Linked DNA regions of Neurospora crassa OR74A. The protein of the gene in region 3 interacts with the protein of the main gene of each other region in a pairwise test. Links are inferred from orthologs where the notes say so. Each region holds a gene or a part of one and is shown on either strand. Other genes may lie near its edges.

Region 1 (3,197 bases), about 1.7 Mb from region 3:
CAATCTTCTCGACGACATCGTAGCCCTCGAGGACCTCGCCGAAGACGACGTGCTTGCCATCGAGCCAACTGCGACAAAATGTGTATTAGCCAACCGGGCACTTCCTAGACCATGCGGCTCGAGTGTATTCGACTTACGAGGTGATGACAGTGGTAATGAAGAACTGGGAGCCGTTGGTATCCTTGCCAGCGTTGGCCATTGAGAGGAGACCCTTCTTGGAGTGCTTGAGCTTGAAGTTCTCATCGGGGAACTTGTCACCATAGACTGTACACAAGCGGTCAATGATATGGACCAAAGTGCATAACGGAACTTGGAAGCAACATACTGGACTTGCCACCGGTGCCATCGCCCTTGGTGAAGTCACCACCCTGGATCATGAACTGCTTGATAACACGGTGGAAGGTAGAGCCCTCATAACCGAAGCCCTTCTCGCCAGTGGCAAGAGCGCGGAAGTTTTCAGCGGTCTTGGGGACGGTCTTGCCATAGAGACCCATAACGATGCGGCCGAGGGGCTTGTCGCCCTGCTCAATGTCGAAGTAGACCTTGTGGGTGATCTTGGGGCCCTTGGCTGCCTCGGCGGACTGCGCAAAGAGCAGCATCGCGCCGAGGAACAGCGTGGCGGCGAGGAGGAGTCGCCGCAAGCTGAACATCTTGACGGTTCACGATAGTTTTTGGGTTGAGATGGAAAAAGACAATGACCTGACCCAAGTCAAAGAATTGGTGGAAAAGAAGATGGAAGAGGAGGAGGAGGAAAGAGAGAAGGAAAAGGACAGTTGATGAGACACTATGATTCTCTTCGGTTACAGTGGTCCCCGGCTCCGTTGAAGCTACGTTTCACCTACCAAATCGGGCGAGCTGCCCTCCAGGCACTGCCCGTCCCCGCGACTGGGGAACCTGGAACCAGTGCACTGACAACCGGACCGACAGCGCGCGTCGTCCAACCAGTTCTTTAGATCAAGGGCCTCGCATTTTCCCCTCAAAACAACAGGGGCAGCAGTCAAGGTGTTCAGACAAGACGGGGATTGATGGAATCGTTGGGGTTCGTTCACAGCGACTGCGCGATTGCCCTGAGACGAGGGAGCGGGAGCTGCACCGCTGCAGAAGCGGGGCAGCCGAAGAGGTCCATGGGATGGATGTCTCACGCCAAGCCGACGGCGGGTCCAGAACCACATGTACTTTCTAGACTCACCCTCAGCCACAAAGGGGGGTGTCAATCTGGAGCGCCGCGCTTGTATGCATAGCGCCGCTACTACAGTACCTCGAGGCAGTTGTCGAGATCGTGAACCCTGCCGGCCGCAACGTCATTATACTTTGGTCTTTATTTTAATCAAACACAATAGATCACTGCATATACCACCACTTCCTCAATCTCTTTACCTCTATGCAGTGAATCTCCACTTCCTTCAACTTGGGACTAATAAGGCCGGCGCATGTCGATTGATGCGACCGACAACTGATGCCGCAGCTTTACTCCTCCTCGTCTTCGCAGTAGCGCGATGATGTCCTCCACGAACGAGGAGGACCCCTTCCTTGAGGTCCAACAGTATGCTCTGACCATCTCCCCCTTTTTTTCCCAACTCACAAACCACAATCAACCCAAAACATTGACAGCTAACCAAAACTTCAAACACAGGGACGTCCTAACCCAACTCCAATCCACCCGCTCCCTCTTCACCTCCTACCTACGCATCCGCTCCCTCTTCACCTCTTCCTCCTCCTCTTCCACCGACTCTCCTGAGCTGATCGCGGCCCGCTCCGACCTCGAATCCGCCCTCTCCTCCCTCGCCGAAGACCTCGCCGACCTCGTCGAGTCCGTCAAGGCCATCGAGCGCGACCCCACGCAATATGGCCTGTCGGCGCACGAAGTCACGCGGCGCAAGCGCCTTGTGCAAGATGTCGGGTCCGAGGTAGAGAACATGCGGCAGGAGCTCGCATCCAAATCCGCCGTCTCTGGAAAGGGTACCCAGCAAAAGGACCAATTACCAGACCCATCATCTTTCGCCATCCCGGACGGTGAAAACGGTGCCGCTGGCGCCACCGGCGAAGACGACGATTACGCAGCCGAATTCGAGCACCAGCAGCAGATACAGATGATGCGCGAGCAGGATCAGCATTTGGATGGGGTATTCCAGACGGTCGGCGTGCTGAGGCGGCAGGCGGACGACATGGGCCGTGAGTTGGAGGAGCAGAGGGAGATGCTGGAGGTGGCGGACGATTTGGCGGACCGCGTGGGAGGGAGGTTGCAGACGGGGATGCAGAAGTTGACATATGTGATGAGGCACAACGAGGACACGCTGAGCAGTTGTTGCATTGCGGTCTTGATCTTCGTATTGATTTTGTTGTTGGTTTTATTGCTCATTTTGTAAGCTGGGAGCTGGACGGCAGGATTGGGGCTGTGTTTTGGCTGACTAGACTAGGCGGGCTGTTTTCTTTTTGGGTTCTGCCGGTTAAGAGGAGTTCTGAAGGGGTGTCTATGATGTTTGGCTCTCCTGTTACTTATTTTGCTTTACCGCCTACAGCATTATGATGGACGGTCATACGGTAATACAATAATGACCTACTGGATCACTGCAGCCACGAGTTGTTGCCGCCATGGTCCAGGTGAAAACGGGCATCGGTCAGCAACATTGAGTTTGGAGCCATACAAAGGCTCAGTTCTGCACCCTTTACAGGGCTTTCTTTCTCTGAGTGCTGATGTGGTAGGTTTTTGTTTCTGTATGCCCACTACGAGCTTCGCCGCCTTGATTGTAGATACGCTGGGTATATAACAGAAAGCGCCAAATACGCTGGGAAGCCCGGCCTTTCAGTTTCTTCTGATAGAACACTAACTTTTCGTAACCGGCACATGGCAGACGTTATCCTTCCAAGATGCTGAAAACCTCAAATGACCAAATCCTGAACGCCGTTGATATGACTTTTCTTTCTGACACACAACACACCAACCCCATTCCTCTGACACACACGACCACTTTATTTATCCAAGAGCAGCTCCAGTACTCTTCCTGAGCAGATCATGGACAACCTGCAACGAGTTCACGGCACTCGACTTGACCGGTGCCCGAGCAGGGAACTCTACGAGCGCGGTCCTCAACGCCGCAAGGGCAGCGGTTCCATATGCATGGATAAACTTCTCCTCGTAGTTCTGGATCATAGCTTTCAGAACCACGCACTGGGTATTTGAGATTTCGCCTGAAGGG
Region 2 (3,553 bases), on a different chromosome or scaffold from region 3:
CAAAGAAGAAAAAAAGCGACGGCGGAAGCGCACGGCAGATCCTGCTAGATCCTGGTAAAGGTAAGCGGGCAGGGGACTGGCCAAGCCCTGAGCTAGCCTGGCCAAATTAAAAAAGATGGGGCCAATTCGGTGCCGATGGTGGATGACGGTGGACGCCGGCAACGGTGAGTCGCTGAAATCGGCCGCCGATGTGTCAAAACCGTCGGACGTTGGCGTGGGCTTTTTCCTTCGGCGGCGGCGGCGGCGGTACGTAACTCGATCCTGGTGAATGTCGCCAACACTCTCCACTAGCCAAGCGATGATGTATTCCAGCGAATCCTATGGCGTGCCGAGAGTGGATCAGCCTGACAAACCTTCGAATGAAGAACCTCGCAGCGAATTCTCGAATTGTGACCGGGGTCGCTGATTTGTCCGTTGGTGATGGATGTTTTGTGGTGGAGGTTTAGTCAGACGGGTCGGTATCGCTGGGCTGAAGCCTGGTGTTGCTGGACGACGAGCAACAGAGAGAGTGTATGAGTGCGTGTATGTGTGTAAGTAAGTGTGTGCCACGAGGCCGGACCAGATGGCCATGAGCAGTCCTGGTGTTTTGATGTCGGCGACGAAATCCGAATGTCATAGCTGACATATATATGATTTAACAGAAGGTGCAAATCTCGTGGCAATGTCGAGCAGCTACCTACTATTTGCGCCGCAAAACAACATTGCCGACCAATCCGACCCGACTGCCAGGAGAACATTTTCCCAAAGCATCGGTGGCGACAGACTACAAACCCAAAAAAGACTTGGAAAATTCAAGACACCAACCAGAAACAAAAGGCTGGCAATGTGTCCATTTTCTGGGGAAACCAGCCAAGGTTCGCGTCAAGCAGCCGTGACAGTGTCTAGGCAGTGTACACTATATTATCTTAGCATGTCTTGGGACGTGGCCGTTGACTGGACCTTCTAAGCGATATGTCCCCCAAAACAGTTCCCTTCCCTAGGTCGTCATCGGTCTCAATTCGTTGCTGGCTGGTGAAAGGTCAACTCAGTCATACAAAGAAACCAATTGAAGAGTTTCAAGACGCCAAAGTCCCCGGCAGTCCCAGGCGGGGTTGATACGTTCAACTGGACACGGTCCGTGTAAGTTACACTTTGCAAACAATACATACAGCGCTTGCGTACACGTACTGCAACAACACTGCAATACATGCGGCAACGCCAAGCATGTGTACGTCACCCGCCTAGGCTGCAACTGTAACCACTGTAACTGTATGTAACAAGCGGAATGTCATGTGCCCATGCTGGTCCGTGCCCACAGCTGCTGTCGTCTCCCGCCTGCGGCCTGCCTGCCTTTCAGTTCGCTTGTCAGGCTGCTGAGACGACCGCAACGACTAACGGGGCTCGAAGCACACTGGTGTCGCTGGCGACAGACAACATTCGACGACGACCACTACTCCTTGCGATCAGACCAACCACACGCCAGCCCAACCACATCTCGTCCAACGCGACCGCATCAACGACGCCCCTCTTTGGCATGATTAATGACGAATCTGAATAATTGAGAATAACGATACCCGCCGATAAACGAGCATCACCCCGATACGGCCAGCCCGACGACAGCACCCCCACACCTGCCCCGAACCCCAACCTCCACATCCGATAGCAACACATAACTCCATTGAATCCAAGATGGCCAACATTCTCGACAGCGAAGCCGGCACAGAGCTCTTCAAGCATTATGAGACGGAATACCAGCTGGTCCAGGCCGACCTGGTCCAGAAGCTCGACCAAATCTCGGAGCTGACGGGCGAGCCCAGGAAAGCCGCCCTCAGCACGGCCGAGCGCGCCCTGGAGGAGGCCGGCGAGCTGCTGGACCAGATGAACATGGAGAAGCAGAACGTGCCCAGCTCGTCGCGGACCGCCATCAACAAGCGACTGCGCGACTACCGAAGCGACGTGGACAAGTATCGTCGCAAGCTGCAGACGCTGGCGACGGACCGCAGCGCCCTGTTCGGCGGCAGATACACCGATAACCCGGGCTCTTCGAGTGGCGATAGGCATTTTGAGCAGAGGCAGCAGCTGCTATCTGGTGGGTGGTGGACAGAAGCACCTTATACATGGCAAGAAGAAACGGAATGCTGACTATTTCCCCCGAAACGTAAAAGGCACCGACCGGCTCGATCGGAGCACACAACGCCTCAAGGCCAGTCAGGCGCTGGCCGCCGAGACAGAGGCTATTGGCGCCAGCACCCTGGCCGACCTGCACCGCCAACGCGAAGTCATTGAGCACACCACCACGATACTATACGAGAGTGAAGGCTATGTGGACCGAAGTGTCAAGACACTAAAGGGCATGGCACGCAGGTACCACCCTCCCCTTTTGTCCCAATGCGAATCATGATGATTAGGTAATACTGACCACTTGCGCCTTTACCATTAGGATGGCTACGAATCGGATAATCACCATTGCGATCATCACCGTGCTGGTCCTCCTTATCATTGCGGTTATCGTTAGCAAGTTCAGGTGATTGTGTCGAGAGAGCTGAGCGAATCCATAAAGAAGCAATACAACATCAGGTAGAACAGGCAGGGGTGTTCAGTGACATCACGATATATACGAACAGGTGGTGGATGGTTTGGACTGTACCGATGGAGCGTTTGTTATAACAGAGACATGTTCCAGTTCCATGTTTTTCGTATCGTAGGGATGGTATCGTACGGGGGGTTGTATTTTTACACAGACGGCGTCACAAAGGGAGGTGGTTTCGAAATTTAGACGTATTTCTTTCTCATGACCATACGGCGGCCTTGCTTCCATGGACGTTCCGACATCCGACAGGGGAAAACGGCTCGCCATGTCCACCACAACTCGCCGCCACATGGGTAGCGGATCGTTCTCTATGATTTCAAATGATTCTCCTCTGAGACATAGTATCCCTGACTTTGGTCGGTGTTGACCGGGGCCTTGGTTAAAACAAATTTTCTGTTGGCCACTGTTGTTTGAATGATTTGCGTTCACCACACCTCTGCTGGGATGTGACTTGGTAGCTTGGTAGTTCTACAAGAAACAGAGAGCGAGCCTTCGACAAAGTCGCTATTTCTTGTGCCCAAATTAAGCTTCTTTGCCACCCTGAAGAACCGTGGTGTACTGTGTATATCCCAGCAAGAACTGTGTCTTGGTAACTCATGTACACTACAGGCCTATTACAAATGAGTAGACTAAGAAATTTTCCATGTGATGGAAACACGCATCACTGCAAATCACGTCAAGTCATCTTCTTCGAGATACTTTCGTTGTTGTTAACATTTGCATATAACCCCACTTTCACAGATACGCAGTACATAACGGACCCTCAGACCTTCCACAGCTCCAGTTGAACTTTAGGCGGTGAAAAAAAAGAAGTCCACCGGACTGATGTTCCGCAGCTCAAGCTGCAGCTGGATGGAGATCGCCGGTCTCTCCCCGGCAGCCTTCCACTCGTCTCCATTTTCACCTGCAATTCTTCACTTCAAGATGGAGTCACAAGACAGAAACACCAAAACCGCTTACGGAGCGGACTTGACTTTTGGCGAG
Region 3 (3,743 bases):
ATTTCTCAGGGTAAGTTGGGTTCTTGATCCTGTTTGTGTGTTTGTGTTTGTGTGTGTGAGAGTATATGGATGGCTAATCATTGTGGGTGAATAGGTGCCAGCGAGATCAACATCTCGTGTGTTATCGACGCCAGAGACGCCGAGCGGGCTATGAATATCTTGCATACCAACTTGTTCACCTTCCTGGAGTAAAGGGGCAGCCTACTGCTGAGGGTGTAACAGAGTGGACTTTGTGTCGGTTTAGACGTCTCTGTCCTTATTTTTGCGGTGAGTTAGACGTGAGAGAGTTAGACGGTCCGAGAGAAAGAGAAGAGAAGACGGGTTTGAACCCACGGGGGAGGAGTGAAGAAAGAAGAAGAAGAAGTTGAATAGACGAGCGGTTGTCGGATGGAACCTGTATACCATCTAGGCAACACATAGCGAAGATTTACTTTGTTTTATTTACATGGGCATTTATATAGAGCATGGCAGGGAGGTTAACGAAAAGGGTTAATACAGCGCCATAGACAAAATTTACACAGGATGATCATCCAACGGACTTGGAAGTACCGGAGCCTTGTCTTAAAAAGTAGATTTGATCAAGCGTGAAACTGTTTACTTTTTGTTTTTCCCAAGCATGGCCATTACACACAATGCAAACAGGGTCACAACATGAAACTATAACAAACCTATTTGAGATAAAGGGGCCGTGGTCCTCATACCTCGGTTCTCATACCCCCGATTGTTGACATCTGTATAGTTGTCATACAAACCGGTTTCCCGGAATCCTTTCTTGATGTTCTCTCCCCATTTTTATTACATTACTACTTTCTTAAATTCCCTCTTTCTTCGGCTCACTCACCCCTTTCGCTGTACCGTGTAGTGGTTTCGGTTACCCGTCCGCCCATCAACTCGATTGTCCCACACATAACATCTTGAAGTTCGTCCCTTTTATGTCTCTCCCCACTCTCTTCAACCTCCATGTTTCTTCGGCTTGATAACCAGCAAAATAATCATACCCGCTATCAAAATCAACAACAGAAGTATAATCTTCCTCTTGGTTGTCTTCTTCTGGTACCCGGACGCAACCGTCAACTCCTTGGCCGCCTCCTTCACGTCCGTCGCCATCCGCTCCACGTTGTAATCGATCCGATCCAGCATCGTACCCTGGTCGATGACCATGGTCTGAAGATCCCGGAACAGATCGGACAGGTCGATGATGCCCTGAGCGATTTCGTCGATTTCGCGCTCACGCTGAGAGATCGCCTGGTCGTTGCTGTGAAGCAGCTTCTGGTGCGTTGACGCTTGTAGGGTCGACTGGGAGAAGACCCGGTCGGCGTCGGATTCGAGAATGGAGGCGCTGTTGGAGCTGTTGCCGGGCGGGAGGCCGCTGGGGCCCAGGAAAGAAGAGGTGGCTGAGACTCGGTCGAGGGTTGGACTGGCAAGGCCGCTCATGCCTCTTAGCTCTGAACAGGGAGTGTGATGTCAGCATGACTGTTTAAAGTCAGAGTCGAGTGGTAAGGAAAGTAGGGGGGCTCACTCTTTAGATATGCGCTCTGCTTTTTTCGAAAATTGGCGCTGGCCTCCTGGACTCTCGTGGCCAGGTTGATTTGTATGTTCTTGGCCATGACCTCGTCGGCGCGACTCATCTGGCCATTGTGTTTGCCCTCGCGCACCATCTGCTCGATGCGCTGGATGACGCGGTGGCAGTCGTGGAACCCCTTGGTGATGGACTGCGTAAGCTGCTCTATCTCACGTTCCTGGTCCCTCTTAGCCTCGTCGTCGTCAAACCCCGGCAGTACGTGCTTCTGATGCAACCGCTCCAGCTTCTGGCTCTTGCGGGCGATGTCGGCCAGCAGCTCCGCCACTTCGTCCGACGAATCCGCCCACCGAGGCGGAAGCAGGTCCATCTCGATCACCGCATCGCCGTCGTCGACATCGTAGGCCCCCGCGGATAAGAGGCCGCGCCGGTCATCGTCGGCAGAGAAGAGGACCCCCGTGCTGCTGCCAGCCCCGCCGGAAGTCCCGCCGAAGCGGTCGCCTGGGTTCTGAGGGGCATATCGGTTGCGCTGGGTCGGGTGGTGGGCGTAGGACTGCCGGTACGAGATATAGCTGTGATAGTCACATGGATGTTAACGAACGACTCTCATCTCCGGGGGGTTCAAGAGAGTTCCCCGTACAGATTAGTGCGGTCGCGCCACATGGCGGACGCCGGAAGGGCGAAAGGCTCCCTTCACCTCGGTTGCACGCCGAAGGCTAGTCGTCGTCTCGGTCAGAGGTGAGAGTCAATTGATGGTAGTTAGTGGTAATGGCGGTCCAGAGGCGGATTGGAATGGGTATGGCATCACATCGCATCGCATGGACACGGCTGTGTATGTGGTCGAGGTTGAGTTGCCAATGTCTCCGTCCCTGGTCGATCTTCCCGGGGGGAAATGTTTCTAGGCCTCTCTCTTTCACTACCTACCTACCTATGTAATAACAGCAACAGGGCCAGTAGCACTGGGCAGCTGCTACCACTGACAATGACGCTGACGCGGCGGTTCAGAAACACAATGCTGGCCAGTTCCAGGGATGGGGGGCATGAATAACATGGGATGCATGTCACCTGTCAGGCACTTGGGGCCCGCCAATAAGGGGTAGCCTTTGTCAGTGTCTCAAAGAGTCGGTCAGCTGGCAGCCTGGGGGACGGGAGCTTTCAGCCTGTTAACAGTCTGGCCCGTCTGTCCTGGGCTGGGGCTGACGACCTACACCTCCAGTGGTGATGTATCCCATGCAGAGGTTCCAGGTAGGTTGCAGCACCTGCGAGACGCCGGGATGGGCTCCAGGGCATCTTTAGTTTTAGTCTCATTTTAGCGAGTGTGTTACAGTTAGGTAGGGAGGGACCCCGCCCCGCCTCCCTCCACTCCATGCTTCGCAATCGGCGGCCCAGCTGCTCATTTAAGGAACGTCGAACTAGGAGAACGGGGACTTGGACCTACCTGGTAGGTAGCCAACGGGTCTCGTTCGTTTCTACTGGGGGACCTCCATATCTACCACTTCCAAACCAGAACACCTTCGAAATCCTCCTTCGAACACATCCAACTATCTCACACGCTCGCTCTCCCCAGACCCTCTATCCACCCCTTAATACTATATCAAGATGGTATGCTCATTCCTTATCTCGGTGCCTCCCGGTCGAATCTGTTTGAGCGCAACAAGAACCCCGCGGGTTAGCTCGAGGGGCTGCGGCCGGGCTGCGAACATACGATGATGGCTGGAAAGGAGACGGGTGACTGACAAGGCTATCAACAACAGGCGGACTCCCTTACTGAAGAGCAGGTCTCTGAGTTCAAGGAGGCCTTCTCCCTTTTTGTAAGTTGTTTTTCTTGCGCCGAGCTTCCTTGTCGCCTATGCTCAATCCCCTGTGTCGCCGTTTGGCGCAAATCGTGCGAGCCTGATGACTGACCCGACACAACGTGACACAGGACAAGGACGGTGATGGTTAGTCTTCCGAAACCCTACCCCCCCAGATATCCGAATTCATCCACCACCAAGTTAGCGGCAAGCGCCTTGGATCATAGTAGTTGCGACGCACCCAACGCTTCTCACCGCCCGCCCCTGAACCGAGTTGCGATGTGAATACGAGCCCTACCGTAATGCACGCATACTGAACAGCAGCTAGGCCAAATCACCACCAAGGAGCTCGGTACCGTCATGCGCTCGTTGGGCCAGAACCCCTCCGAGTCTGAGCTTCAGGACATGATCAACGAGGTCGATGCCGACAA

What was found.
Region 1: the proteins of NCU04119 (region 3) and NCU01199 interact in binary tests that used the Saccharomyces cerevisiae proteins (3 or more experiments, as listed by UniProt). The link is inferred for Neurospora crassa OR74A from reciprocal best matches to the Saccharomyces cerevisiae genes TLG2 and TLG1.
Region 2: the proteins of NCU04119 (region 3) and NCU05959 interact in binary tests that used the Saccharomyces cerevisiae proteins (3 or more experiments, as listed by UniProt). The link is inferred for Neurospora crassa OR74A from reciprocal best matches to the Saccharomyces cerevisiae genes TLG2 and VTI1.

The regions. Positions count from the first base shown.
Region 1 is NC_026505.1:3,218,350-3,221,546, reverse strand, and holds NCU01199 (SNARE domain-containing protein), read left to right. Parts: upstream 1-1,281; 5' UTR 1,282-1,496; coding exon 1,497-1,543; intron 1,544-1,633; coding exon 1,634-2,366; 3' UTR 2,367-2,662; downstream 2,663-3,197. Other genes in the region: NCU01200 (peptidyl-prolyl cis-trans isomerase B), read right to left, coding at 1-68, 138-264, 326-650; gle-1 protein, read right to left, coding at 2,975-3,197.
Region 2 is NC_026506.1:3,311,301-3,314,853, reverse strand, and holds NCU05959 (vesicle transport V-SNARE protein VTI1), read left to right. Parts: upstream 1-1,351; 5' UTR 1,352-1,668; coding exon 1,669-2,068; intron 2,069-2,144; coding exon 2,145-2,343; intron 2,344-2,419; coding exon 2,420-2,507; 3' UTR 2,508-2,917; downstream 2,918-3,553. UniProt on the Saccharomyces cerevisiae protein: t-SNARE found in various SNARE complexes involved in multiple transport pathways. The composition of the t-SNARE complexes is specific for a limited number of v-SNAREs and therefore allows only the vesicles carrying the matching v-SNARE to fuse.
Region 3 is NC_026505.1:4,908,323-4,912,065, forward strand, and holds NCU04119 (SNARE complex subunit), read right to left. Parts: upstream 2,513-3,743; 5' UTR 2,183-2,512; coding exon 2,160-2,182; intron 2,092-2,159; coding exon 1,520-2,091; intron 1,446-1,519; coding exon 952-1,445; 3' UTR 561-951; downstream 1-560. Other genes in the region: NCU04118 (aspartokinase), read left to right, coding at 1-10, 95-192; cmd (calmodulin A), read left to right, coding at 3,119-3,121, 3,274-3,330, 3,444-3,459, 3,641-3,743. UniProt on the Saccharomyces cerevisiae protein: t-SNARE that functions in transport from the endosome to the late Golgi and on the endocytic pathway.